Zea mays: one gene and its partners. Each later gene encodes a partner of the first gene's protein in a complex. Links are inferred from orthologs where the notes say so. Each region holds a gene or a part of one and is shown on either strand. Other genes may lie near its edges.

Evidence for each region.
Region 2: 30S ribosomal protein S10, chloroplastic (region 1) and 30S ribosomal protein S31, chloroplastic-like share a complex: the UniProt entries of both Arabidopsis thaliana proteins name them as parts of the 30S ribosomal subunit. The link is inferred for Zea mays from reciprocal best matches to the Arabidopsis thaliana genes AT3G13120 and PSRP4.
Region 3: 30S ribosomal protein S10, chloroplastic (region 1) and rps11 share a complex: the UniProt entries of both Arabidopsis thaliana proteins name them as parts of the 30S ribosomal subunit. The link is inferred for Zea mays from reciprocal best matches to the Arabidopsis thaliana genes AT3G13120 and rps11.
Region 4: 30S ribosomal protein S10, chloroplastic (region 1) and 30S ribosomal protein S6, chloroplastic-like share a complex: the UniProt entries of both Arabidopsis thaliana proteins name them as parts of the 30S ribosomal subunit. The link is inferred for Zea mays from reciprocal best matches to the Arabidopsis thaliana genes AT3G13120 and AT1G64510.
Region 5: 30S ribosomal protein S10, chloroplastic (region 1) and rps4 share a complex: the UniProt entries of both Arabidopsis thaliana proteins name them as parts of the 30S ribosomal subunit. The link is inferred for Zea mays from reciprocal best matches to the Arabidopsis thaliana genes AT3G13120 and rps4.

The regions. Positions count from the first base shown.
Region 1 is NC_050096.1:24,108,246-24,115,216, reverse strand, and holds 30S ribosomal protein S10, chloroplastic, read right to left. Parts: upstream 4,605-6,971; 5' UTR 4,487-4,604; coding exon 4,301-4,486; intron 4,117-4,300; coding exon 4,060-4,116; intron 4,054-4,059; exon of another isoform or gene 1,004-4,053; intron 998-1,003; coding exon 686-997; 3' UTR 377-685; downstream 1-376.
Region 2 is NC_050098.1:170,388,593-170,395,315, forward strand, and holds 30S ribosomal protein S31, chloroplastic-like, read right to left. Parts: upstream 3,825-6,723; 5' UTR 3,767-3,824; coding exon 3,571-3,766; intron 2,354-3,570; coding exon 2,289-2,353; intron 2,207-2,288; coding exon 2,075-2,206; 3' UTR 1,862-2,074; downstream 1-1,861. Other genes in the region: fructose-bisphosphate aldolase, cytoplasmic isozyme, read left to right, coding at 154-1,193; putative RING zinc finger domain superfamily protein, read right to left, coding at 5,114-5,324, 6,601-6,723.
Region 3 is NC_001666.2:75,046-80,226, forward strand, and holds rps11 (ribosomal protein S11), read right to left. Parts: upstream 2,639-5,181; coding exon 2,207-2,638; downstream 1-2,206. Other genes in the region: petD (cytochrome b6/f complex subunit IV), read left to right, coding at 433-907; rpoA (RNA polymerase alpha subunit), read right to left, coding at 1,125-2,144; rpl36 (ribosomal protein L36), read right to left, coding at 2,826-2,939; infA (translation initiation factor 1), read right to left, coding at 3,040-3,363; rps8 (ribosomal protein S8), read right to left, coding at 3,443-3,853; rpl14 (ribosomal protein L14), read right to left, coding at 3,993-4,364; rpl16 (ribosomal protein L16), read right to left, coding at 4,474-4,875.
Region 4 is NC_050096.1:303,986,661-303,992,957, forward strand, and holds 30S ribosomal protein S6, chloroplastic-like, read left to right. Parts: upstream 1-2,376; 5' UTR 2,377-2,491; coding exon 2,492-2,914; intron 2,915-3,561; coding exon 3,562-3,807; 3' UTR 3,808-3,931; downstream 3,932-6,297. UniProt on the Arabidopsis thaliana protein: Binds together with bS18 to 16S ribosomal RNA.
Region 5 is NC_001666.2:45,281-50,385, forward strand, and holds rps4 (ribosomal protein S4), read right to left. Parts: upstream 2,483-5,105; coding exon 1,877-2,482; downstream 1-1,876. Other genes in the region: photosystem I assembly protein Ycf3, read right to left, coding at 1-52, 789-912. UniProt on the Arabidopsis thaliana protein: One of the primary rRNA binding proteins, it binds directly to 16S rRNA where it nucleates assembly of the body of the 30S subunit. With S5 and S12 plays an important role in translational accuracy.

The DNA of each region.
Region 1 (6,971 bases):
GAGGATGTAGAAACGAGGACTATTGAGGCAGGAGTCGGGGGGCTGCTAAAGACCAACTTTATGCCTTCCTTTTCTTCAGAAAAAACGAATATCACTTGATCTATTAAAAATAGAACAGCACACCTAGCCAACTGAAAGTGTACTTTTTTTTGAAAAGAGAAAGAAAGAAACTACCATTCTCGTAGGATTTTAGCCCCTCTAATCCTCTCCAGTATCTTTGCTACTAAACAAGCCCTAAGGAATAGTTTGGAAATTTAAATCCTCTCCGAGAATCATGAATTCCCGGAGCGGATTTAAGTTTCCAAACTATCAAAGAAAAATAGAAAGAAATCCCCTTTACAAGTTACAAAGCACCGTCAGTCTGTTGAGCAGAATCAGTGCAACCAGCAAGAAAGAGTATTTTGCTTATCCAGACGACTCAAACGATCCTTCAGAAGCTTACAAATTTGGCCAATCCTTCGTCTGCTTCAGACTTGCTAGAAGAAATTTTAGTGCCACCAATACAGTAATACAAGTATACAGCTAGCATGAACCATATCATCTGATATACTTCAAATCAAGTACATTCAATTCTGAACATCTTCTTTCCTAGTACAGGCACTACATTTCTTTCAGTCCCAGAGAAAAGCTGCAGAAAATGAATACCTCATTACATCAAACTTCGGAAAGTTCAGCTCCAACAGAATCATAGCTTAACCTCAACATCCACACCGGCAGGGAGCTGGAGTTGCATCAACGAATCAATTGTTTGGGCAGTTGGATACATGATATCAATCAGCCGCTGATGCGTCCGGATCTCGAAATGGAACCGTGAGTCCTTGTGCACGTGAGGAGAGTTAAGCACACAATAGACTCTCCTCTTAGTGGGCAGAGGAACGGGACCCATGGTCTTTGCGTTGGTTGTTTTGGCAGCTTCGATTATCTTCTTGCACGAGTCCTCTATCAACGGCACCCAGTAGGACCGCAGCTTGATTCTGATCTTCTGCTTGGGTGCAAGCTGAGAACAGATAACATTCATAAAAAGTGTTATTAGTCGTTGAAAGATAGCAACTTCTGCATGCAAACTGAACAGTGAAGAAATAAAAGCATGTGTTTGATTTAGGGTAAGGGTCATATAATGTTTAAATATGTTTCCAAAAGGCAAAATAAACCTTATAACACTTCAATTACCTGTACAACACTTCAATTACCTGTACGACAAACATGTAGTTGCTAGGAATCAAGACACCTTGATGTTATCAAGTCAATTAAGGTCAATTTGTGAAGGCAAGCGCATGCTTTTGCACTATATATATTGCGTGTGTGTTGGGCGGAGAGGAGGGATATTGTAATGTTCTGGAAAATAAACATGCTCAATAAAACAGTCCTCCAGCAAAATAGGCTATGTCGTGGCTATGTTTGTTTCCACCTACCATCATCCAGATTTAGTAAATTTCAGTACAATTGCAGCTAATTCAAGCTGATGTGATGCAGGCCAAATATTGTAATATTATGAAAAACATAAATGTTCAATAAAACAGTTCTTCACTAAAATTAATATATCAAAAATATTGGGGCAAAAAGGGTATGTCACATGGCTGCGTTTGTTTCTGCCTACCCTCATCCAGTTTAATAAATTTTCAGTACGGTTGCAGCTAATTCAAGCTGATGAGTTGCACATCTATGATCAGCTCTTTCGATAATATGCCATTCATGGTTGCTTATATACTTATCAAACGCTAGAGCATCCTCTGACGGCACAACATCGTCATTAGCACCATGTACTGTCAGCACCCTGCAGTTTGGTCAATAGACATGCATGCAGATTGCAGAGTGCCTGTCTTAAGACCATCCATCAGACTTTGTCTGGTCACACGGTAGATGATACTCCTATTTTGTCTTCCACATCAATGAAACCATGCTGATTAATCCTTTCCATGTAATCATTTACGGAATGATCTCCAATTCTACGTTCCAGCTTAAACCTTCCAGAAAGGTTAATAGCTTTAGATATACCGTGAATTCGTGATACATGGATGTATAGAGGATAACCACATTTTCTCCTTTACTGTGGCCAGCAATAGCATGGGTGTCACGTTTGTGTTTTTGAAATGCAGGATCGCATCACATAAAACGTCCACTTCGTTATAGTAACCTTATCCAAAAGTACCTTCGCTTTCTCCATTACCAGAATAATCAAAACACATATGCTGACATTTTCTGATGTTAATGCATCAGCGAGACTTAACATAATTCTACCTTCCTTTGATGATCTAAATCTGTGACACAACACTACAAGGCCCTTAGATCCAGCTTCATGCAAAACACCAACAAGTATCTCTCCGTATCTGTTTATTATCACCATTTCCTCTTGTGATACATCTAAAGAAAATAAGAATCACTATGGGAGGATCCCAACTGTGCACAAGGCCTTGTAAAAATTTCGTTTTCAGCACTTCCATACAACAACTGCAGACAAATATTTACGATGGACATGCTTAACAAGCAGAACTGCAGAAGCATGAAGCAAAGTAAACATAAAACTACAAGGAGTAGCCTCAATGACAGATTATACAGTGTTAGCTCTATTTAATTTTACTACTTAATAGCCATTTTGGACATGGATCTTCAAAACACACCTTTGTCCTGTTTACAATTTGACCATTTCCATGTGAGAAAAGTAAATAAGTTTATACAAGTTTAAAAGGCTGAGCACACACATTGACATTATATATTTTAGAATGAAGGAAGCATCTCAACTCGACTCCAACAGTTCAATGACAGTACCATGGAGGTTCCTAGGGAGACAAGCAAGAGGAATTGCATAACTTGTCAAATTGTAAACACAACAACACAGTTAGATATTGCTAACTGTTCAGGGGAACACACTGACTACCACAGTGGGCGCAATTACAGCGAGGTAAAGACAATAAGGAATTCATGGTCCATGGTTGCTGAGCGCTTGAGACAACTGCTGTCTTTTTTTTTTTTGCTTTCTTTCGATGGCCAAATGATACTAGGCTTCAGTCATGAGTCAGTATGTCACAGCCTCACAGGCCTAAATATGGGCCACCATGTCGGGCCTAGTGGCCCAACTGAGGCCCAACACCAGGCCCTGATGAGCCGCGGCCTCTACTGCCCCTAGAATCCCTCCCGCACTGGAGAATCCGGAATAGATGGAAACTCAAAGGTAATCTTCAATAAGCTTGGAATAAATAAAATATAGCTTGTTTAGAAAATAATGATAGAGTTTGTTTAAGAAAGAAGATTGGTTTGTTAGGAAACAAGATTACAAATCTATAAGAATGATGCTTGGGATACAAGTCCTATAGGAACTATAAATAATTAAATATAGGGGCAAATAACTATTTCAGTCTAAGCAAGAATAGAGTTATTGCTCCCTCCCTCCCTCTCCCTATGCTGCCCCTCCCCCTCTCCCACGCCGTCCACCATTTTTCAAGTACGTCAAATAATTCCAAGGAGGAACAGAGCATTAATAGGCAGAAAACTTTGAAAGTTTGATCCAGCAAGCTTTCAACTGCTAAGTAGAATCTGGAAAGCTAAACCACCATAGACCCTCAGATATCCTCATTCTAGTCTGATAGGAATGATTTAAAGGACAAACGAAATGAATTTCCCACATAGTCTCTTCAATCATGTGCTGGTAACTATGCATGGCTTAAGCATTAAGGATGCTAAACTGTCTAACGTGATATGGACTTCTACAAAAACATACATTTTTGAAGTCCAAGTCACACTCACGTTAAGAACAGTTTACACTAAGATTAACGGCTTAAACGAATGTGCTGACTGATATTGTCTAGCATCATTGCATTGCGTCCTGAACGATTTCTAAATGCCATTTACACAAATACCCAGAGCACATCGTGCTCTCCATTTATTGTGATTAAACAATCACAAGTAAAATGTGCACTGCTATGCAGCAATAAAAGAGAAACATGTTGTATGGTTTATGGTTATAACTTTTCACAGTTCATTCGATCAAGGAAGCAACAATATCAGAACAAAAGATTCGGTAACATAATAATCTGGGAAATTTTTAACTGCTATGGAAGGTACCTGCTCCCCATCATCCCCAATCGACGATGGCAACGGAATTCCCGTTCCTGCCCCTTCCTGAAAGCGCGAGGTTAACAATTTTAGTCACCGAATGAACAAGGTCTAACGAGTGTGCCAACTGAACCAATGTCGCCATGTAATTGTAACCCCCATAACCAAGCGGTACACGCCATCATGAAATTCGCAGGTTTTGGACTCTGCGTGTGCGAAAAGACACGGCAATATCAGTTCAGTCACGTACCGGTGGCGCGTCGGGGATGCCGTCGTCAGAGAGGGTCTCTGCGGGCGGTGCGGCCGCGGCCCGGGAGCGGAGGGACGCGCCGCGGAGGGAGGACGGGAAGGAGAGAACCGAGGGGCTAGAGTTTGCGGTGCAGCGATGGAGGAAGAGGAGGGGGAGCGGGGAGGAGGTGGAGGTGGGGACGGCCATGGCGAGGGGAGGGGGGGTGAGGAAGCCGTTTGCCGCGTTGGGTTTTGGAAGACCTCTGCTTCGCTATCGCGGTGTGTTATCCGGTTCCAGGGGCATTTGCGCTCGAGCCCCTCCAGCTTTGTTACTTTCAAAGCGAGGTGTCTGGTGGCAAACATGGGCGAGTTCTGTCTCCTCTAGCATTACTTTCGAAGAAGATCATGAATGATTTGTTCGGAAAGGAAGATCGTGGAATTGGATATTACTGTGACCTCAGCTAAAAGTGTCGATCTGGCTGGCATAAACTTGATCGTTTCAAGGAACAATCAGTTACCTTCTTCTTGCCTGGATAGACTGTCCATACCAGCGCTCAAATAGGAGAAGCTACATTCACAGCTCCTGGCACGAGGCAAAAGAAATACAGAATGATGAGCCATAGAGGTGGCCAAACTAACTCTACTACAGACATACATCTACAGAGCACCAGCTATTCACTTCCCTTCTTTATCCCGGCCATCACCACAATCCCCAGCACTCCTTTTTCCCAATCCCCTTGAGAGCAGCTACAAGATCTAAGCCCGACTGCTGCCCACGAAGCCTTGAATATGATGGAACGGTTGCAGTAGCAGCCCCCCCCCCCCCCCCCCCCCCCCCCCCCCCCCCCCCCCCTGGTTAAGCTGCCTGCTGGTGCTGGGAGATGGAACTGTATTTGATTTGTTCGACAATCGATCACCAAAAGTTGGTTTCGCTGTGATGACTGTTCTATCAGAATTCATAGCACGTGATGCCTCATTAAGGTTGAATCCATGAACGTTCGTCTTGTCCCGATCAGATTTAGGAGAGGTTGAGAAAGGGGAATTTGGTGACTTCTGTGAGAGCAGTAACCTTACAGATCTCTGCCAGAGTTTTGCGCTTGTCCTCAAGCTGACAAACATGCCAGATTTAGCAGCAGCAGATAAGCACTTATTAACAACCACCTCACCAATATGAGCTGCAAGTTCCTTAAGAGTCGACATACAATATTTCAAAAACGGAGATTGGTTTTCTGCATAATGCTACAGTAAGTTCAGATCATCTGACACCTGAGCAAATTTATTCACCTAGAGCAAGCTGCAAAAATCGGGGCATATGAATAGCTATTGAGTTGCTGTTAAGTGGTTGACTCAGTTTCAGAGATTCGCCAAGCATTTTGATGCATTTTCCTATCTCTTTTGAGGAAGATTGCTAGGTGTAGAGATTTCCTGTTCACATAGAAGACAGAAGGTGAATTGGTTGTGATTGATAAAATTAGTGTGACATGAATAGTATACCAAGTTTCAGATATTTGCCAGGTACTTTTAAAGTTCTTTCCTTTCCTGCTATTTTTTTCTGAGGAAGATTGTTAGCAAATAGATTTGTTGGCTATGTAGCAGAGAGAAGATGACTCAGTTCTAATCAACCAATATAGCATTAAATGAAAATACATTCCACACAAAGTGTTTGCGTAACAAAGACCGAACATAACCGAGCTGACGATCATTCGGTTCATTGGCTGGCAACAAAGCATCTTTAAAATCGTTTGGGGTGAATTCAGGTATTCCCAACGGGGTTAAAGATACCCTAATAAGTATTAGCTACAACGTCAGTCTGCGTATAGTGAGGTAACTAGATTTTTTTTCTTCCATCAATGTTAATGGGAATCACAACATCATGTCCAGCACACATATACTCTAATAAATATGGATAAAGGTGAATACATAGTCATCGAAACAGGCCATAAATGTTTTCGTTGGAATTTTTCATGATTCCATTCCGAGGAAAAATCGATGGGGGGTGTGTTGGGGCGAAGGCAAAGACGCCACCCTTCGCTCGTCGCCTTTCGCTGCAGTCGCTGGTTTGACGAAGACAAAACGGGCAGGGACACCCTTCGCTTCATTCAGCACCAGACGAAGGCCTGCGGTGACGTCTCCCCGCAGCACGGCTTCGTCCTGCTCTAAGGCCCACGTGTGATCTGGCCCATTGTAACGGGCCTCGCGTGGCCGCCTTTGTGTTACGGGCCTAGTTTGTAAAGGCATTCTTGTAAGTACAGCTTGTAACCCTGCTTTATGGGAATATTCTGGGGATAAACTAGGTGTCCGAGGGCACATGCGTCCTTAACACAAGGCGCTGGGCACTCAGATACCTATAAATACCCCCGCACAGTGCCCGTGAGAGGCTAGATTAACAGAGCCATTTGCCCCCGAGCACGTAACCCTGTTGTCACCACCGTTCACCCTTGTTGGCCTCCTTGCTACTGAGAGCAAGTTCCAACATTTGGCGCCCACCGTTCGTGCTACGACAAGACCACCCGCGATGGCACCCAAGAGAGCTAACCCGAAGGCTGACGAGGCTGCGAAGGCAGCACTGCTGGCCGCGAGAAAGGGCAAGGCCCTCGCCCTCACCCAATCCACCCACCAAGAGCCCACTGAAGACAACATTCCCCGCACCTGCGAAGACAACATTTCCCACACCTGCGAAGACGACACCTTCC
Region 2 (6,723 bases), on another chromosome or scaffold:
AATAAACAGTAAACTTCCTGAATTAATAATTAAAGTTTATTTTGTATTATTCAGGATGGCCTCCTGATTTGATAATGGAAGTCATTTTGTATTATTCAGTATAGCCTTGGTACCTGGTAGATAGCCATGCTTATTATGCATATTGTTTTGCAGATGAGCTCATCAAGAATGCTGCCTACATTGGCACCCCCGGCAAGGGTATCCTTGCTGCTGATGAGTCCACTGGCACCATTGGCAAGCGCCTTTCCAGCATCAATGTCGAGAACGTTGAGGAGAACCGCCGTGCCCTCCGTGAGCTCCTATTCTGCTGCCCTGGTGCTCTCCAGTACATCAGCGGTGTGATCCTCTTCGAGGAGACCCTGTACCAGAAGACCAAGGATGGCAAGCCTTTTGTTGATGTCCTCAAGGAGGGAGGCGTCCTCCCTGGCATCAAGGTTGACAAGGGCACCATTGAGGTTGTTGGCACTGATAAGGAGACCACCACCCAAGGCCATGACGACCTTGGCAAGCGTTGCGCCAAGTACTACGAGGCAGGTGCCCGCTTTGCCAAGTGGCGCGCTGTTCTCAAGATTGGCCCTAATGAGCCATCACAGCTTGCCATCGACCTGAACGCTCAGGGTCTGGCTCGCTATGCCATCATCTGCCAGGAGAATGGTCTGGTGCCAATTGTTGAGCCTGAGATCCTTGTTGATGGCCCTCATGACATTGATCGCTGCGCTTACGTCACTGAGACCGTCCTTGCTGCCTGCTACAAGGCGCTCAACGAGCACCATGTCCTCCTGGAGGGTACCCTCCTGAAGCCCAACATGGTGACTCCAGGCTCCGACTCCAAGAAGGTGACCCCTGAGGTGATTGCTGAGTACACCGTCCGTACCCTCCAGAGGACCGTCCCTGCTGCTGTGCCTGCTGTTGTCTTCCTCTCTGGTGGACAGAGCGAGGAGGAGGCCACCCGCAACCTCAATGCCATGAACAAGCTCAGCACCAAGAAGCCGTGGTCCCTGTCTTTCTCCTTCGGCCGTGCCCTCCAGGCGAGCACCCTCAAGGCCTGGGCTGGCAAGGTGGAGAACCTGGAGAAGGCTAGAGCTGCCTTCCTCGCCAGGTGCAAGGCCAACTCTGAGGCTACCCTCGGCACCTACAAGGGTGATGCTGCCGCCGACACCGAGAGCCTCCACGTCAAGGACTACAAGTACTGAGTTGCTTCTCTTTGCGTGCCCGTTTTGGAACTCCTGCCTACGAGCTAGGTTGCGGAGTGTGGTTTGCTCGTTAGAGCTTATTTTCGGACATCCAAAAAACATGCTTCCTATGTGGGATGATGGTTATCTTTATATTTGTATGTTAATTAGTCTCTTTGCTGTTAAATTTCGTGTAAGTTGGTCCTGCCGATGGAGAATCGAGCAGCTCCCTTTTTTTGTTCTATCAACTATGCTGTAATTCTGGCTATGTATCGGCAAAAACAATTCTATATGCTGAGTTGGAGTCGGCAAAAATTCATATATGCTGAGTTGGAGACAGCAACTTGTTTGGATCATATTTTGCTGAGACACTCGTGAGAGATTGGCATAGCAAGAGACCTGAAAGTGTTAGCTGAAGTTTGAAACAAAACTTACATCATTGCAACACATATTAATAACACAACACGATCATTAGTTCAGCACGCAAGATCTTTGCACATTGCTGACGTATGAATAAATCGCTAGTTGGATTTTGTTTTACCTGTTAGGGCTGGATTGTTCGGTTAGAAGAGGATTGAAAGAGATTAAATCTTATTAATCCCCTTACAAATGAAACGTGTAATCTCTCCGTTACCACTAGATGAATCATTTAATATCTTCTAAAAAAAACTTATTTCGACACAGTTTCATTTTGAAGAGAGTAAAGAACTCAGCAGCTGGAAAGGAAAATAAAGAACCCAGTCAGTAGTAGGAACATTACTAGCCAAATGAAAGTGTGGCAGCCTACCCATCGATAATTATAGGCGAGGAAATAATTACTTAAAATATGTAGTATTTGATTTGGTACAAACTAGGCCAATTAAGCTCAGGGCAAATATAAAGCAAGGCAGAACTCGGACAACCTATTCCAGGATGTCCTCGTCAATCTCGATTGAAATGATCTCCCCATCATCGAACTGATCCTTCCTTGGAGGAGCAGGAGGGGCAAAGAGCCGCGCAGGCCCAGTTCCCTTCTTCTTGTTGCGCGGCCTCGCCTAGACATGATCAGACAGCTAAATAAAACAGAACAGGGGGAAAAAACCAAAAATGCGATGTAAATTGTGCTGGAGCACTCACATTGCCATATGAATGGTTGAACCTTTTGCCCCTTTTCGTTTTCTTGTCCCCTCTCCCGCAGTAGACTGAGCAAGACCAGATAAAGTTTAAAACTGTCTGTCAGTCCACAGGATCATCAGTATTGATATAAACAGAGGCCAAAAGGGACAGCACCCCAGTTGGGTTCGTAGTACAATCAGAGAATAAAATCCTGAAGCAGGCTATGGACACTAGAATTTCAGAAATTGATTTCAAATTATGATTAACTAAAACTTCTTTGAAGTACACGCATGAGAAGCATCCATCTTTGACTCTCTGTATTAATAAACCAGAAACAAGTGTTTACAACAGCTGAGGCCAGTGGCAACAGAGACGACCAAAACTATAGGCGGTAGTGATAAACAAGAGATTCAGCTTCCTTGATTGGCACTCACTCCTGACACCGTGTGAAGTGAATCAGTCAACCGGTAAAGGTTTAATAATCTACTACAGTAGTAGTTTTCAGTTCATATATATGCTCCTGCTCCTCGATACCGTAATTTTTTCGTGTGGAACAACTTAAGCTCTTAAGAATCCAGTTTCTAGAAACTAGTTTATAAAAAAAAAGGTTAATGGTGTTTAGAATCACCTTAATTTTTATAAATTGATTTTAGCTAGAGAAGACTAGCTTCTTGGTTTTTTAAGAAACTAGGAATCCAATTTCTATAAATTAGTTTGGAACCACGTCAATTTCTATAAAAAAAACTAGGTGCTTCCAAACAGACCCTTAGGCCATGTTTGGAAGCAACCTAGTTTTTAAGAATCTAGTTTCTAACTTCAGTTTCTATAAAGTGATTTATAAAAAAACTGGTTAATAGTTTTTAGAACCACCTCAATTTCTATAAACTGCCTTTAGCTAGATGGGATTAGCTTCTTGGTTTTTAAGAAACTGAGAATCCAACTTCTATAGACTGGGACAAAAGCTAGTATATTTGGAACCACCACAATTTTCATGAACCAGTTTGTTAAAAACTGGATGCTTTCCTTGGTCAGTCTAGTTGACCCAGATCGACTAACAGCATCACAACCTCCATCTCTTCTGGGGAGTACATTTCAGTAATAAATCCCTTGACTATTTCATAAAAAGAAGAAAAATCCCGATTGAATTGGAACGAATTTCCCAAGTGTCAGTGTAATAGTAGTCATTGCCTTTTCTCCCTTATTGCGTGGAAAACAGTAGCCATTGCTCGTGACATGTGTTAGAAAGAAACTACTCCTACATCGGACAAAAACAAGGGGAGTGAGGAGGTAGCTGTTTAATTACCGTCAAGAACTGGAGTGACGGTGGCCGACAAGACGGCGCCGACGGCGAACGCAGCCCGGGCGCGGGGGAAGGCGGCGGAGGCTGCGAGCGCGTAGGAGGAGGTGGAGACGTAGGATGAGACGGCGCCGTGGTTGTGAGATGGGAGGGCCGCGGCGGCGGTGGACATGGCCATGCCCTGGACGGCGAGCAGCGCCATGGGGGCAAGAAGGAGCGAGCAAGCGCAGGGAAGAGAGACTAGTGTGCTCGGGAATGGTGGTGTGGTGGATCAGGTTGGATAAGGGATAAAAGGGCTCGCAGTTGGAGCCACAGCGCACATCTAAGATGGGCTGCAGGGCTGGTGTGGGCTGGGCCAGAAGTAACCTTATCGGCCATTACTGTAAAGTATGGTGCACACACCTAGCCAGGCCGTCGTCGAGTCTGGTCAGGTCTTGGATCCTTTTCTTTCTCTTTCTTTTTTTTGATAATTAATATAATTAAGATGACCAAAGCTTAGCTTTGATTCATGCTAACAGAAAACAAAACCCTAGATGCTCCAGCGTCGTTCTCCGGCCCGTGCTTCTCCTGCTGAGTTAGGGTTCTGGTCCTTCTCGAATCTCGATTTCGGCGGTGGACTGGTGGAGGCAGACACTTGAACCCATGGTGGCCGGCCTCACGGCACCACCCGTGCAAGGTGCCAGCTTTCCGGACTGGATGAGCTCATGGCTTGTGCATCAACAAACCCTGAGGGTAGGGTGAGCGTCAAGGAGCGGCCCCGAGCTGTCCCCCACCCCCGTGCAGGCAATTTTCGGTCCTGGAGCTGGAGTTAGTAGTATTTGGGAGCGTGTGGCTGGAGCGATTCCAATTCATTTCAGCAACCGAAATACCGAATGGAGGAGTTGCCAAGGTCACTGTCAGGCACTCACCTGTGCACTACTGTACAGCACAGATTGAACGGTCGCTATCAGGTTCATGTCAACCGAGCAGAGTTTCAGTTTCAGTGCCCAATCATGAATAAAAAACCGATGGCCAAAATGTAGTGGTGGGAGAACGCCTCAAGCAAAGTGCCTTGCACGGAGTGGAGACGGTTCGATGGCATGACCTGACCACATGTGTCTTCTTTCTTCTGGAACCTCTAGAAGGAGAGGAACGGATGAATCCTCAACAACGCTCACGATTATGAATGGTGCAGGTGGCCACGAGAATTGAAGACGATATATATAGAGCAGAGAAGTAGAGGCCCCCTGATTTCTTCATTCTGAACAGTCCGGCAATTCGCCAGACGAGAAATGTCAAGCTAGTATATTATATATAAAACCCGAGACATTTTCCTTCTTTATTTACAACCATTACAGCGAGCAACGCCACCATGCAATAAAGCCAGCGCAACGGCGTGGCATGCCCACGAGAGTATCGTCTGTTGGTCGGCAACGGCTTCGCTTTGCCAACTCGATCCGCAGAGGATGGTCGGCTGCGGGTAACCCTTGTCGCTTGTACGCCGCGTCTTCTTCCCAGACCCCCTTCCTCTTCCAGAGCTTCAGAGTGGGGGGTGGGGGGAGGAGCCTTGCTAGACTAGGTAGTCGTAGTAGACCAGCAGCATGTTGTCGGGGACGATCAGGGGCAGGCTGTCGATGAAGCTGAGGAAGTGCTTCACGTTCTCCTTCTCCAGCGTCACCGTGTCGATCACGTCGTCGTCGCCGGTGAGCACCCACAGGTCTCTGGACCGGACCCTCTTCAGGCTCCCGCGGCAGAACGGGCATGACTGGGACCTTGTGTACCTGCAGTCACGGAACATCCAGGTTACAGCGTTCAGCATTGGTGTTGCTTGGAACAGTACAGGATGGGGTCATTAAAACAGTTGGGGATGATCCCTCTTATCGCTACAACAATAGATGGGCCCAGTGGTCACCAAAAGAATCTACTGCAATAACCAATCCCATTGAGTTTATCCGTAATCTAATCTAACTCAAGCAACATTATTGTGAAAGCTACTATTGACTTCGCCAAACTTGGAGTGATGCAGCCGATTGATGAGTATCATTGAAACCAACAACCTGACATGTATCAAAACACAATGACTTGCAGATGACATCCTTGGTACACAAGCATGATCCGCCAGCTAAGAGAATACAATCATTTAGGATTTAGAATGCCACGTCAACGAGTGTCTCCCCTTTTATCCCTTTATTATTTTTTTGTCTGTAACTTAGCAGTTGGCTGGCACTGGTGAATAATGGTTTAACGACTTCATTAAAGCTACAACAGCACTCCCAGTTGTCTGCTTTCGATTCCGTTAATGGACCATTGCTAATTGTTGACGAAACGTGGGGGCTTTTTAACAACGGCGCAAAGTATCATAAACTTTGTCCAGCAAATCTCTGGCATTCAGCTGGACTGCTGGAGGAATGAAGATAATGAATCTCCTGACATGGCACATGGTCATTAGATCACATAAAATCCCTCCTAGTTTTGACAAACAGAAGGCTGAAAAATATAGAACAAGAAACACATGGACTCCCATGCCATCATGGTGGTAAAAAACAAATAGAAGAAACTCCGCACATGAGGGGAGCGAAGATTAAAATGGAACCCCCCTCCCCCCCCCCCCCCCCCCCCCCCACACACACACACACAAACACAAACATTCAGTTCAGGAGAATGTAGCATCTGAATTTGACTAAATGGAGGCTTTAAATGGTGAACATGAAAAAAGAAGTGCATTGGGACTATGATGGGTTGTTCAACCACCCCCTCCCCACTCCCCACCAACAATGAGTGAGTAGAAGTAGCCCACAGAGAAGTTTAAGAAAATCATTACTGAACCACCCTTGCGCTATCAAGAGTTCAAGACTGCGTCAATGCTTACTCGTTTCCTCGAACCTTATCTTTAAAATCGACATCACATTGAGTCTGTTCAAACCGCTAGCGAATTTTTTTAATGGTGGCGTGTGATATCGGGGCCCTAACTGATAACGATCCAGGCTCAGTCAGATATATTGTTGCTTAAATAATACACCCCCCAAACGGATAAGCAAGAGCGACAGGGAGCAATACCAGTCTCGGTAACAGTTGATGCACATGGCATGGTTGCAATTCGGAAGGACCATCTTGGTGCAGGTCTCCAGGCAAATGCCACACTCATCCTCCCTGTCATCTTCGGCAACAAGCTTCCGACCG
Region 3 (5,181 bases), on another chromosome or scaffold:
CCGCAATACTATCGGAGTAAAAGAAGGGATCTAAGGAAGAACGCAGGCTAAACTTTTTGATTTTTTATTAGTAACAAGTAAATACTTTGTTTGGACATAAGAAACTTGCGATATCGAGGGGATAAACAACAACTAATCAAGAGACAATCCACAAAGCAATTGATCATGATCAAATTTGTAAGCCCACTTGGATATTGAGCATTTAAGCATAAGAATAGGATTCTTTTCAATGAGTAGTTATAGGCGCAACTTCGGAAAAGATAATTTGATAAAGTTTTTCTTACCTTGAGTCATTGAGTCATTATATACCCCTATTCTATTGTGGATCCTCCACGGTCTTATTTCTTTCATTCTTGCTCGAGCCGGATGATGAAAAATTCTCATGTCCGGTTCCTTTGGGGGATGGATCCTAAAGAATTCACCTATCCCAATAACAAAGAAACCTGACTTAAATGATCCTGTATTAAGAGCAAAATTAGCTAAAGGGATGGGACATAATTATTATGGGGAACCCGCGTGGCCCAACGATCTTTTATACATTTTTCCAGTAGTAATTCTAGGTACTATTGCGTGTAATGTAGGTTTAGCGGTTCTAGAGCCGTCAATGATTGGTGAACCGGCGGATCCGTTTGCAACTCCTTTGGAAATATTACCCGAGTGGTACTTCTTTCCCGTATTTCAAATACTCCGTACAGTACCCAATAAGTTATTGGGCGTTCTCTTAATGGTTTCTGTGCCAACGGGCTTATTGACAGTACCCTTTCTAGAGAATGTCAATAAATTCCAAAATCCATTTCGTCGCCCAGTAGCTACGACCGTTTTTTTAATCGGTACTGCAGTAGCTCTTTGGTTAGGTATTGGAGCAACATTACCCATTGATAAATCCTTAACTTTAGGTCTTTTTTAGTTTAGGGATTTTTCGAGTTGATTCATTCCACCGCGAAGTCCCCTGCATGGGTATCTAGGAAATAGTTACTTCCAAGTGAATCTTCCCTAGATACCTAAAATCTATTTTATTATGATCCATTTCGCGAAAATATAGATTATGCCAAAGATGCCAAATTGCTTTCTTTTTTCTTTTTATTCTAACTCAAAAAAGAAGAAGAGGAAAAAATTGCAATGATTTAAAGCGAGAACTTGTTCTTAGGTAAATCAATTGGGAGATGCTTCTCTAGAGTGTCCCATATCAGTTTTCCATCTTCCATACGAAAACTATTAATTTGCATAAGATCTTCTTCAGTCTTACTCAAAAGGTCCAATAGTGTATGTATATTGGCCCTTTTGAGACAATTATACGTTCTAGAAGGCAATTCTAATTGATCAATAAAAATACAATTCAATGGAATTCCTTTTTTGTTTTTCTTTAGATTAGTGAATCTTTTTTGAAAGGTTAAAAGGGGTGGAGTTAACCTGTTTTTATTTTCTTCGAAACTAGTGCCCTCTTCCTCTGTGTGTAGAAAAGGAAGAAATAAATCAATCAAATTACGAGAAGCTTCATAAAGCGCTTCTTTAGGAGTTAAACTTCCATTCGTCCATATTTCTAAAAAAAGTATCTCGTGTTTTTCATTTCCATTCCCACAAGAAAAAATACTATAATTCACATTTCGAACAGGCATGAATACAGCATCTATAGGATAACTTCCATCTTGAGAGTTCTTTCTGAGTTCCGTATGATATGCGCGATCTCTCTTGATCTGTAACTCAATACAGAAATCAACGGGTTCTCTCAAGTTAGCTATAGGTTGTGTCGTATCAACGATTTCTACGGAAGGCGGTAAGATTATATCTTGAGCGGTTATGTATCTAGGACCTTTGACGCAAATTGATGCGTCTCTAACTCCATAGAGATTACTTCTCAATACAATTTCTTTCAAATTTAGTAAAATTTCTTGTATGGATTCTTCAATACCTACTATTGTGGAATATTCATGTGGCACGTTCCCAAATTTGGCGCGTGTGATACATGTTCCTTCTATTTCTCCAAGTAAAGCTCTTCGCAAGGCAATACCGACAGTATCCGCTTGACCTTTTCTAAGCGGAGACAGAATGAAACGACCATAATAAAGACGTTTACTATCTACTCTTGATTCAACACACTTCCACTCTAGTGTTTGAGTGGATCCTGTTATCTCTTCTCGAACCATAACAGACTATATTATTTGATCATTGAATCGTTTATTTCTCTTGAAAGCGGTTTCATTTTTTTTTACAGACGTCTTTTTTTAGGAGGTCGACATCCATTATGCGGCATAGGTGTTACATCGCGTATACAACTTAACCGTACACCACTTTTAGCAATGGCTCGTAATGCGGCATCTCTTCCGCTACCAGCACCTTTTACCATAACTTCTGCTCGTTGCAAACCCACTGTACGAATAGCATCTACTGCTGTTCTTTGACCAGCATAGGGTGATGCTTTTCTTGAGCTTTTGAATCCACAAGTACCTGCGGAGGACCAGAAAACGACCCGACCTTGTGGGTCTGTAACGGTTATAATGGTATTGTTGAAACTAGCTTGAACATGAATAATCCCTTTTGTTATTCTACGTGCACTCTTCCGTAAACTAAAACGGGCATTCCTACGCAAACCAATACGCACTTTCTTACGTGAACCTATTTTTGGTATAGCTTTTGTCATATTTTATTATCTCATAAATATGAGTTAGAAATAACAAAAAGAAAAAAGATACAAAGATATCCGTTTCAGGTTAAAATATATCCTTTACTTTCATTTTTTTTATTTGCAATTTGGGCATTTCCGTGGGTACTTTTTACTTTAATTAGAAAGAAAAGCTATTAGAAAGAAAAGCTTCTTTTTCGAAAGATTACCCCTGTCTTTGTTTATGCTTCGGATTGGAACAAATAACTCTAATTCGCCCACGCCTGCGAATCAGTCGACATTTTGTACAAATTTTACGAACGGAAGCTCTTATTTTCATATATGGGTATTCCTTTCTTAAACTATGAATCTATTCTTTTGGAAAAAATAAGTCTCTTCACTTAAATTTTGAAACTTGGAAGTTATTACCCCAGAAAAACCTAATCCTTTGAATCTTTGGTATCCTTCAAATCTTCAGTATCCTTCGAGTCTTCGGTACGCTTCGAATCCTTATGGGGAAGTCTATAAATTATACGACCTTTGCTGGAATCATAACGACTTATTTCAATTTTGACCCTATCCCCCATCAGTATTCGTATAGAACTAGACCGGATCTTTCCTGAAATATAGCCCAGGATGATGGTGTCATTCTCTAGGCGAACGCGGAACATTCCGTTGGGTAGGGCTTCCGTAACTAAACCTTCGAAAGTGACTTTTGCTTCTCTCGGGTTTTTTTTTTCTCTACTATTTTTTTTTTCTGTCATATATTTTTCTCCTATTTTTCTATTTTTATTTTCAAAATAGGAAGTTCGAGATAGAATTTGGGTACTATAGGTGGGGCCATTACCATATATAACATAAAACTTCTCCCCCAATTCTGTTTAGTCGAGCTTCTCGATCTGTCATTATACCTCGAGAAGTAGAAAGAATAGCAATTCCCATTCCGCCCAAAACCTTAGGAATTCCTTGATAGTTGGCATAAATTCGTAAGCCAGGTCGGCTGATACGCTTTAAAAAGGTTCTAGTTCTATATATTCCCTTTCTAGTCTTTCTCCTTTGATGTCGCAAAGTTGAAACCAAGAAATATCTGTTACTTTCCTGATGTTTCCGAACACTTTCAATAAAACCCTCTCGTAGAAGTATTTTAACAATGTTTTCGGTAATATTTGTGGATACTACTCGAACAGTTCCTTTTTTATTCATGTCTGCGTTTCTTATAGAGGTTAGTAAATCAGCAATAGTGTCCTTGCCCATAAGACTCTAATTCTAGGTTCCTCCTAATTTTTCTATAATCAACATGTTTTCCCTTTTCTTTAAATTTAGGATTTTAAAGCATATACGTGAGACAAAATCTACTAATTTTTTCTTTGATCTATATCTCGTCTACTAGTATTTATAATACTTCAGGAGCTAATGAAACTATTTTAGTCAAATTCAATTCTCTTAATTCTTCGGCAACCGCGCCAAAAACTCGAGTTCCTTTTGGATTTCCTTTTTGATCAATGATAACTGCTGCATTGTCATCATAGCGTATTATTATACCGTCGTCGCCTTTGAATTCTTTACGTGTACGTACAATTACAGCTCGAATTACTTCGGATCTTTCTAGAGGCATTTGGGGCACTGCGTCTTTGATTACAGCAATAATAACATCACCAATACGAGCATATCGCTGATTACCAGCGGCTCCTATGACTCGAATACACATCAATTTTCGAGCTCCACTGTTATCTGCTACATTTAAAAGGGTCTGAGGTTGAATCATATTATTTGGATTTCCATTTGTTATTTCAATGCAAAAGGATGAAAGAAATATTGTCTTTCCAGAAAGAAAAACCAGGGGTTTTTTATCTTCAATATTCCTTTTTGGGGTTCTATATCTCTAATCGAAGAAATTGACTTCGTATGGGCATTTTACTGGCAGCTATAGAGATAGCTGCTCTAGCTACAGTTTCGGATACTCCGCTCATTTCATAAAGTATTCGACCTGGTTTAACAACGGCTACCCAATATTCGGGGGATCCCTTTCCCGAGCCCATACGTGTTTCTGTGGGTCTTATTGTAACCGGTTTGTCGGGAAATATACGCACCCATATTTTTCCACCACGACGTGCATATCGTGTCATTGCTCTTCGTCCTGCTTCTATCTGTCTCGCGGTGATCCAAGCGGGTTCAAGTACTTGAAGAGCATATCTACCAAAACAAATATGATTGCCTCGGCAGGATTTTCCCTTCATTCTTCCTCTATGTTGTTTACGAAATCTAGTTCTTTTGGGGTTATAGTCGATGGTTCCTTCTTAGTTCCATCTCTACTACAAAACTGGACATGAGAGTTTCTTCTCATCCAGCTCCTCGCGAATGAAATGAGAAGCGTGCGAATGTCATTTCTCTAATTCCATAATATTCAAAAATATTATAGATAGATACACATCAATATATAATAGAAAAAGTTAGGTTTTTTTGATTTTGACTTTCTTAAACTTAAAAAAGAAAAATTAAATATATAGTCAAGAAAGAAGATCTAGAATATATCCAAATTCAATATTTATATAAAATGTAATCCTTCCTTTTTTGGAATCTCC
Region 4 (6,297 bases), about 280 Mb from region 1:
GGCACCGGACAGTATCCGGTGTGCACCGGACTGTCCGGTGCACCCGACGACAGAAGGCAAGATTGGCCTTCCAGATTTGCTCTCAACGGCTCCTAGCTGCCTTGGGGCTATAAAAGGGACCCCTAGGCGCATGGAGGAGACATCCAAGCAACCTTAGAGCATTCTTGATCATCCACACTCAGTCTTTGCACATTCGTTTGTCATTCTCAGTGATTCGAGCTCCGTTCTAGTGAGAACTTTGAGATAGTCTTTTGAGCTCGATTCTTGACCGTGTGTTGCGCATCTTGCTGTGGATTTGTGTGTGTTGCTTCCCTCCCTTACTCTGTGCTTCTTTGTGAAATTCAATTGTAAGGGCGAGAGACTCCAAGTTGTGGAGATTCCTCACAAACGGGAAAAGATTAAAGTAAAGAAGAACACCGTGGTATTCAAGTTGATCATTGGATCACTTGAGAGGAGTTGAGTGCAACTCTCGTCCGTTGGGACGCCACAACGTGGAGTAGGCAAGTTTTGTACTTGGCCGAACCACGGGATAACCACCGTGTCATCTCTGTGATTGATTTCTTGTGGTTATTGTGTTTTGACTCCTCTCTAGCCACTTGGCAATTATTGTACTAACGATTAACCAAGTTTTTGTGGCTTAAGTTTTCAAGTTTCACAGGATCACCTATTCACCCCCCTCTAGGTGCTCTCATCAGCATAATCCAAAGATTGACCTAAACAACCAAACGGGGTGGGGTGGCCAGTCGGTCAAGGAGTGTGCATCACTAGTCTAGAAGCTCGCGCTGCCAGCCAACGAGGGCACACACTATTGACCTCACGGTCATGGTCCGACCAGCGATGGTGCGGGCACGAGTAGACAACGAGGGAGGGGCTCGCCATGGGAGGAGATGTCATGGTGAAGAAAGCGACGCTAGAAGAGAGAAGATGTGTGACGGGAGAAGAAGAGAGGTGGAAAAATTAGAAAGAATTGGACTGTAATCGATGGTAGTGGTCGATAACTTTTCTCAACTCTATCAAACTTATGTTGTTGGAGCTTCCATTGAGAAGCTTCACCAAGAGAGTGGATCTAGCCTTTAGATCCCCCATTTTGGTAAATATAAATTTAGTGGATCTAGATCGTTTGACAAAGTTTTTCAAAAATTTAAATTATTTTTAGTGAATCTCAAATAAACTCATACTGTTGTTTCATTTGATATGGCTCCTTTTAGAAGGGCTCTAGCTCCTTATTTTATTGTCAGTAGAGTACCTTCTATGAAGCTGAAGTTTTTGTAAGTAAAAAAATGGGCTATTTAAATTTGTACCCTTAGTTTTGCTTCATTCCTTATTTTTAACCTTGGTCGTGTTTTTTCTTAGTTTTGCCCTACTACTCTATAACACTAGAAGGACAAAACTAAGTAAAAAAACACGACTAAGGGTAAAAATGAGAACACCAGCAAAACTTGGAGCAAAAGCTTAAAAAATCCAAAAATAAAAGCCATATTTCAGCATCGTGTCTCTTTTATAAAAAATGACTTTGACTTTTTGAGCTCTACAAGGAGTTGTTTTCGGCTATTGGCCCCTTTAAGAAGTCGTGAGAAAGTAGAGTCGAAGTCCTGTCAAATTGACCTACAATAGAATGTCTTCAGACCTTCACACAAAGTTTTTCGGTGTTCAAATTCACTAGATCTTTTATCTTGGTCCTGTTTGTTTCGGATTCTAGCAGCTTCTGGCCACCAAAAGCTGCTGCGGATTGCCAAACGCTCAGCTTTTCAGCCAGCTTCTATAAAATTCGTTGGGACAAAAACCATCCAAAATCAATATAAACACATAATCGGTTAAGTCGTTGTAATAGTATGAATTCATCACTTTCTAGATCCTGAGTCCTATGAACAACTTTATTTTCCTCCACACGTAATCGTAATGATACTCAGATTCTCCCCACAGCCAGATTCTCCTTACAGCCAGATTTTCAGAAAAGCTGGTCAGAAAAAAACTGAACCAAACAGGCCCCTTATATCTCGTATACAGAGAAGATTAGGTCTACTCTATATTTAGTCAATTCAACTGTTCGAGATTTTTTTAAAAAAATATAGGTCCGCTGTTGATATTGTATTTTAGCTGCCTAAATCTTTGGACAGCAAACTTAGATAATCAATTAGTATAATTAAAAGAATAATTTATACTTTTTCTATGGGTAAATAAAGGAAAACATACATGCTGCGTATATGACAACAAAAGAATCATACACATAAAACATAGAAGAAATGCATAACTACATATAGTTGAAATACACACAAAGTTAACGTTGTAAACAATTTTGGTTTAACTGGCAACCCGGCCGTTTTTCCACCAATATGAAAATCCGTGCAAACTCCAAACAGGGCGTGGCGTCCTATCCTTATCTATCGAGTGGACGCGACGCCAACAGCGTCAGCGCCTCCTCCCGCTCTCCGGCTCCTGTCCTGCTCGCGCTCGTCGCCCCCCTGCCGCTCGGCTCCCCTTGGCCCCTCCAATGCCGCCACCCATGGCACTGCTGCCGCTCTCCTCCGCATCCGCGTCCGCCGCGCTGCCGCCCTTCCGCTCCTGCCCGCCCGCTGCGATGCTGCTTCGCCTCCCCTCCCCCGCCCCCTCCCATTTCGCCCGCCCCCGCGCGGTCTCCACTGGGTACGCGGCGTCCTTCTACGGCGGCTCGGCGATGTCCGCGGCCGGCGGCGCGGACGAGGAGGAGGAGGTCGGCTACGAGTCGGGGTTCGGCCCGGGGCTAGGGCTGGGCGGCGGCGGCCTCGGGATGTCGGCCGCGGAAGCCGCGCTGGCGCTGGAGGAGCGCGAGATGCCGCCCTGCCCACCCGGCCTCCGCCAGTACGAGACCATGGTCGTGCTCCGCCCCGACATGTCCGAGGAGGAGCGCCTCGCCTTCATCCAGCGCTACGAGGAGGTAATTTGCGTTTGCCTCCGCTCCGTTTGGCTGCCACTATAGCTAACTGGATGGATGGAGCAGCGTAACACGGGCACGGCTCGATCGGCTCACCTCTGCCTCTTGCATATCTCGCTACCATTTGCTGTTCCGATGGCAGAGAGAGCAGACAGATGATAATTTCTGGACAGGCTGGTATCATACTTGAGCAATGCGAGACGAATGTTAAAAGGGTTCCGAGTGTTTCGAATTTCATCCAATAAATATTAGGATTTCTAAACGTATAAAAGTGGATCCGCCATAGTTAATTGCCATCCTATCCTGAATTCACCATGTATGTTAGGCACTGTTTCTGTTAGAAACTCACTCTAGTCTAGAGCTAATCAGTTTGTTCACATTGAAGTCAGATGCTGCGGCGGTAATATATAGAGACAAGAAACCGTTTCGGATTAAAGACAGGTGAACAGCTTGAATATATAGCAGTAGAGGTTTGAACACCCCCTACCTAATAACTCAGCTAATTTGTGAGTTAACAATCAGTCCATTAGCTGGTTTAACCTAGCTAACAATTTGTTAGTTCCAAACGGGCCCTTAATCGCTGTTATCAGTCACATGCCATCTGCGTACCATTCCAATCCAGCTCAGCTTGGTGTTTTCCTGTGCTGCAGCTGCTCGTCGCCGGCGGCGCCATGTACGTGGAGGTCTTCAACCGCGGTGTCATCCCGCTGGCATACAGCATCAGGAAGAGGAACAGCCGCACCGGGCTGCCGTCCACCTACTACGACGGCATCTACCTCCTCATCACCTACTTCACCAAGCCGGAGTCCATGGACGCCCTGCAGCTTAAGCTCAACGCCGACGACGACGTCATCCGCTCCACCAGCTTCAAGGTCCGCCAGCGGAAGGCCGTCTAGTTAGACGGGTTGCCTCCTCCGCCTTCAGGCCCTGAACACTGTTTTGTTCACATACCATACTACAAGAAATCTGCTGTACAAGAATCCACCTTTGCCATGATTGTTGAGTTTTTTTTTTTTGAATATGTTTCTTGTCTTGTGGTTCTCGAAAATGGACGTCCGGCCATCGTTCGCCAGAGAAACACCGCGCCTCCTAAAACCATCATGTTTCATCAGGTACCAAAAATAAAGGTCCGTAGCTAGGTAGCGTCGAGCCTGAGCGCGCTCCGGGGATGGAGAACAGTCCAAACCCATCGTAAATCTGCAACAGTACAAGCATATACAGTGCAATTTGTGGAAGAGATTCGTACAAGTACAACTTTCATTTGATTTCAGAGGCGTTTAAATACTCCACACTTCATTCCCATTTAGCGTCAAGTGCGTTGGTGTTTCCAAATATTCATTTGATGAAAGAGATGTTCTCGGCATATAACTAAACAGTACGACACTAGGACATGACATGATGCAGAACGCAGATTGGCTTTCGGATTTCTCGAGCAGGAACAGGAAACTTCGGAAGATAAGACACAAAGCACAACACAAACCAGAACAGACGCCAGCAATCCAAAATCTGTCAGCCATGGAGTAACATTTAGTATCTCTCATGGCGCCTGAAATCATAAACAAATACCTGGGTCAGTCAACGATGTGAGGCACAAGGGTTTCAAATAAAAAAGTGTGCCTATTATTCAGCAATACCTGCTGCGCTCCCTGGAGCGTGAACGCTCTCTTCTCCTTGAGTCATATCCGCGGGAGCGGTCATAATCCCTATCCCGGTCGCGGTCATGGCGACGGTCCCTATCGTGACGCCTATCGCGTTCCCTATCATAATCTCTTCTTCCATCTCGAGACTCAACCCTGTCTCTCCTTTCTGAATCTCTATCCCTGGACGGCGGGCCGTTTCGATCCTTGCTCTGCTCTCTAGATCTAAAAGAGCCAAATGGGCATGCTTTCAGATAAGATGACCATGATGCTGATTGCTGACTAAAACAATGAGGATGCGGAATACAGAATACCATACCGCCTATCATCTTCAGTTTTGCCTGTCCTCCTTTTGTTTCTCTGCTCCTGCAAGATGCCACAGTGTATTTTGTTTATTGACAGTACAGATAATGATATTTTGGCATATTTAAAATCAGAGACAACGTTCCAAAAGATAGGGCGGGCGATACTTTACAGGCAAGGTTGCTTCAGCAAAATGTAACTTGCAAACTTATGGAGGAGGTAGCAGATAGAAAACAGAACAAGTTGTCACTTACAGCAAAATGTTGGCAAAAGAAGTGTGCTTTCAGGATAACTTAACCAGTATTATTTGTCACCTGGTCTACATAATATGGCTCAGGCAGTAAAAAGGCAACCTCCAGCTTCTGCCCAACAATCGATACTAAGCAGACACATGAGCAGTTTGTCACAATTAAGTAAACATGATTTTTTTCATACCATGGTCCGCACGCTCCTATGCTTACATTTGTCAACAGACAGTGACTGTTGTAGCCATAGGTATGAAGATCATCGCATGAGATTCCAATCACGCGACATGGACTAATTCCTGTAATGACTATCGTAATAACCATAGTGCCCGGCAATGTGAGAATCAAATAATATATAGAGGGAAGGTGAGAACCTTGAGGCTCTTGAGATAAGAAAACTCACAGATGCCAAAAGGCCCAAAACAGAGTAACTCTTTAAAGCAGAAAACGGTACATTACACTCAGCACCTGATAAATTGCACCTTTATAGATTTAGATTGAGGATAAGTGAATAAACCAAGATTATCGTATTCTGATGATGGCCAAACAGAATGTAAATTTTGTTTTATTTGTCTTTAAGGTTTGGAAACCTTGGAAGTATTAATCTGTTTCATAAATCTCCAGTGTTTAACTTCTACTTTGGGCATAGGCATGCAGGAATTTACCTGAAGTTCTTTCTGTTTGTCACGAATCAGCATGTAGCCTAGATGCAGTTTCCCTCCAAAATGGTCAGCAAGACGTCGATCACTGTTGAGATATTTTCAGCTTAGGATCAACAACAACAAAGCCTTTTATCCTAATCAAGTTGGGGTAGGCTAGGGATAAAAGCCCGATGGAACCCACAAGTCAAGGTTGATTTATCAAGGTGCAATTTTTAAACCCAATAAAAACCCAATATTTTCAGCTTAGGATAAATATTCAATTTGACAGCTTCAGATATTTTTGGGAATGCAAAGAGCTAGAAGCATTACTTGTCATATACACTCAGAAATGCTCCACATATATCACAGAGGCGCAACTTTTGATCGGTCTACAAATTAAACAAAGAATCATCAGTATGTATCTAGCATTGCATCATGATGAATAGACACAGATAATAAGATGAAAAATCTGTAACAAAATAGTGCCAACCATTATTCCATTAAACCATAAAAAGGCAGTGTAGACCACAAGAACCTCTAAAGAGTAAATTCAATTACAT
Region 5 (5,105 bases), on another chromosome or scaffold:
TAATAATTCTGCAAAGCTTCCGCATAATTTCCTTCGGATTGAGCCAACATCCGTTACGGTCGTTCATTCTATTCAAAAAATCTCCGTTCCAAAACCGTACATGAGGTTTTCATCTCATACGGCTTCTCCCTTCTATACATAGTACTAAGCGAAAAATCTATAGAATAAAAATCGAATTAGTCCCATCTCATTATGGACCGAAGGGGGCTGGTATTTTTCCAAGAAATCTCTAGCCAACCTTCCCCCAAGAGGTTTTTCTTAACACCAATGAATTATATTAATGCTAGAGGAAAACGATAGCTCCAAGAATTTCTTTGTTCTCAACGCCTCCTATTTAGAGGAATTAGCCACTTCAACGACCTTTGATGGTTATAAGGGTATCCAAAGTACAAACCTGATGGTTGTTTGTTATCCCAACCATTCTTCCCAACCCTGATACCAATCAGGAAAGGGCTAATTTCTAACAAAGTTTTTCTCTTGTTGATTCCTATTTCGTGGTGTAGTGCTTTTCTCCCCTATGCTGCCTATTGGTACTAGTAGAGTCGGATTGCCCTGTAATACAGAACCTATCCTGTAGGTGTAACCTTTCGCTCAATACTCAAATCTACAATTGAAGCATCTGAGGCCACATCAATCGAGGATACACGACAGAAGGAATTGTTAGTTCACCTCACCTTCCCCAAGCGCGGGTTTCCTTTACTAATTTTGTTCTCTCTATGCGAACCCTCTCTCTTTCTCGTAAGAATGAGATATAGGTAGGGCTAAAAAAAAAAAGAGTCAAATCGCACCATCTCTATAATAAGTAAATGCCCTTTTTTCCCCGGAGGTTGTCGGAATTATTTGCAATAAAATATTGGCTACAATCGAGGAGGTCTTATCAATGAAATTTCCATTTATACGGGATCTAGGCATAATTCCCAACCCATTCTATATAGAATTCTTTTCATTCTATCACAAAATAACATAAAAACAAAACATTCGATTCTTATAAATCGATCCATATGCTCTAAATGGATAAGAGAGATATGGATTTTCCGCTCAGCTCAAATTGTCTCCTTTTCCTCTGTTTGGACAAGAAGAGAAGAAGAGATATGAAATATTTGACTAAGACTGGAATTTCATTCCACTTTCCTATTTCTCAACAACAACTTCCCTCATCAGCTATTTCGCGTTTTCAAAGTCATTAATTGCCCCATACCCCTTTTATATTTAGATTGTATGGCGTAATGTACCTTATGCAAATGGAATTCTAGGGTTCCTTTATTTTCTTATGGAATAAGAAGAATTCTTCCATTCTCTTTTTATTTTGGTTTTCCCCAAAGAAAAACTTTTCGAGGGAGCAGAATTCCTAGTAAAAAAATACAGGATCCTTCCACTTAGATGAAAAGGAATTTTTCCATCCAATCCAATAGAGCCATGGAATTCCCGAGCCGTTGTGGCTGTACCTGTACTGCAGGAATACGAAAACTCGCTATTCACTCAGTTTATTTTCCATAATAAGATTATGTAGGAGAGATGGCCGAGCGGTTCAAGGCGTAGCATTGGAACTGCTATGTAGACTTTTGTTTACCGAGGGTTCGAATCCCTCTCTTTCCGTTTCTCTTAATTCATCAATGTTAGCGATCACAATGTATCAAATTAAATAACAATTTATTCCAACAATAATACCTTTAATTAATAGAAATTCTCTATAGCAAATTACTGTGGTATGTAAAATACACATCGAGGAAATAACAAAAAAGAAAAAAGTATCCTAGGGTTAATCTATTTCTGCTAGGTGAACGGGAAAATACGAATTAAGAGCCTTAGGTCGATTTAGTTCGGGGAAAGGGGAAGGGGAAAAAAATTCTATGAACCTTTCCTTTTTTCGTTAAGTTCAAGTCTGGCGAGAATAATATTCTACAACTAACAACTCATTTATTTTGAGACCGACCCACTTCCTATCTAGAATTTTTTTTACTAGTCCTTTATATTGCAATGTGTCAACCGTCAAATGCTTTGGTAATTTGCCCGGATCGGATGAAGCAATATAATTTTGAACCAAACGTTTTGATCGTTGGTTATCCTTCGTAGTAATAATATCTCGGGGTTTGCAACGAAAGCTTGGTATATCAACTATACGACCATTAACTAAAATATGTCTATGGTTAACTAATTGTCGGGCCCCAGGAATGGTTGAAGCCATACCCAATCGAAAAAGGATATTATCCAAACGCATTTCAAGTAATTGTAGTAAAACCTGACCTGTGGATCTTTTTGCTTTTCCAGCGATATGTACATATCTAAGTAATTGTCGTTCTGTCAGACCATAATGAAAACGCAATTTCTGTTTTTCTTGAAGACGAATACGATATTGCTCTTTTTTCCCAGAATGGAATTTCTTTTTCTGATTACTTCCGGATTTAGGCGTTTTTCTAGTGAGTCCTGGTAAAGCTCCCAGACGGCGTATTTTTTTTAAACGAGGCCCTCGATAACGGGACATGAAGACTCCTTTTTTATTTTATTGAAATTTCATTTTACACAATAAATTTCGTTCTATTTACATTACAGAATACAGCGAAATTCAAACAGAATTAAACTAAAGGATAAACAGAGTAAAATCTACTAAAGTAACACAAAAAATGGAGTAACACAAAAAATGGAATTTCATCAACATCTGGATTTTTTGTATATATATTATTTATTTTTATGCTTTGTATCTAGCAAAATTGTAAGGTAAAACGACATAATAGACCCTGATTCCCCATTTTATTCGGAGAAAAAGAGAAATTCTTGTTCATAGAACATCGATAGAAAAAAAAGCCGACTATCGGATTTGAACCGATGACCCTCGCATTACAAATGCGATGCTCTAACCTCTGAGCTAAGTGGGCTTACATAACAGAAATAGTGTAACAAATAAAAATATATATATAGGGAATCTGTAAAATGTCAGATCTTAATTATTAATCTTAGTTATTAACTAGTTCTAAATTGGAAGTTCCACTTAGATAGAAAAAAAAAAATACTAGAATTTCATAAAGATAAAGTTAGCTTGATATGCTTAACTAAATGATATTCTTAAATAGGATTATAGAATTTATTGAACTTTCTTTTTATTTCTCTAATTCGCAAATGGATTTTTTTAATAGAATCTATTCCAAATTCTATATTGAATTTGATTTCAGATATTTTCAATTTGATATGGCTCGGAGGAATAATCTAATACATAGAAAAGAAGAAAAAGAAGAATATATATGAATAATATAATAAAGAGAAAATGCCAAGAGATTGGCATTTTCATTTGATCATTATATACATTTTTGAGATATTTTGTTTTTTTATTTGTTAATAATTTAAGGATAAATAGTTCACTAAGGAGAAGATAGAATCATAGCAAATGAAATTTCTAATTCAGTTTAGAAAAAAAGAATGAATATCAAGCGTTATAGTATGATTTGGAATACTCTAAAAAAGGAAGGAGGGAGGCGGGAGAGAGAAAAACTTTTGGATATATTCATTCCGATTGAATTGCAAATATATCAACGATAAAATCAATGCAATTCTGAATTGCAATAAGCGAGCGGGGTGTCTCAAATAGAGATGAGTTGCTAGACTACGTCGAATAATGAATTCAATGATTCAAAAAAAACTAAGAGATGGATTAAATTATACAAGGAATCCTGGTTTCAAAGAAAAGTAAAATGGGGATATGGCGAAATCGGTAGACGCTACGGACTTGATTGTATTGAGCCTTGGTATGGAAACCTGCTAAGTGGTAACTTCCAAATTCAGAGAAACCCTGGAATGAAAAATGGGCAATCCTGAGCCAAATCCCTTTTTTGAAAAACAAGTGGTTCTCAAACTAGAACCCAAAGGAAAAGGATAGGTGCAGAGACTCAATGGAAGCTGTTCTAACGAATCGAAGTAATAACGATTAATCACAGAACCCATATTATAATATAGGTTCTTTATTTTATTTTTAGAATGAAATTAGGAATGATTATGAAATAGAAAATTCATAATTTTTTTTTAGAATTATTGTGAATCTATTCCAATCAAATATTGAGTAATCAAATCCTTCAATTCATTGTTTTCGAGATCTTTTAATTTTAAAAAGTGGATTAATCGGACGAGGATAAAGAGAGAGTCCCATTCTACATGTCAATACTGACAACAATGAAATTTCTAGTAAAAGGAAAATCCGTCGACTTTATAAGTCGTGAGGGTTCAAGTCCCTCTATCCCCAAACCCTCTTTTATTCCCTAACCATAGTTGTTATCCTTTTTTTCTTTTATCAATGGGTTTAAGATTCACTAGCTTTCTCATTCTACTCTTTCACAAAGGAGTGCGACAAGAACTCAATGAATCTTATGCTATTCATTAAATAGATGATTTCTTTTTTATTTCTTTTTTATTTATTAGAGTAGAGTATCGGCAAGGAATCTCGATTATTAATTCGTTTTTTTTAAGTATTATTAAGTAAGCCATCCACAATGCATAGGACTAACCCCTCCCATTTCCTAATTTTGAATGGAATACTTTATTGATTTTTTAGTCCCTTTAATTGACATAGATGCAAATACTTTACTAAGATGATGCACAAGAAAGGGTCAGGATAGCTCAGTTGGTAGAGCAGAGGACTGAAAATCCTCGTGTCACCAGTTCAAATCTGGTTCCTGGCACAGAAAAAAAGGATCTACTGAATAGATATTGATACAAATATTTTGAGATGGATTGGGGTAAATATTTATTAAAAATCTACTTAGTCTTTAGTCTAGAGTAAGTAGATAAATCTCTAGAGTAAGTAGATAAATCTCTACACACTTCTTTTTCTTTTAAAAAAAAGGGTTTAAATCTCTGGTTCTTTATGGTATAGAAAGAGGTGAGATTAGGTGCCCTTTTCTTCATTTTGCATTTCTTATTAATTTTGTATACCGCTATTCCGAAGAATATATTTTTTTTTATTCTTGCTTATCCTACTTTCCCAGTTGTTCTAAGTAATATGCGCGGTACAAAGTTCGTGGTAGGAACTTCTTTGAGTCATTGTATTTTTCTGTTCATACGAAGGAAACAAATATGTGATTTTCCAAATTGGAAAATAGAAATGAAGCCCTTTTTGTTCA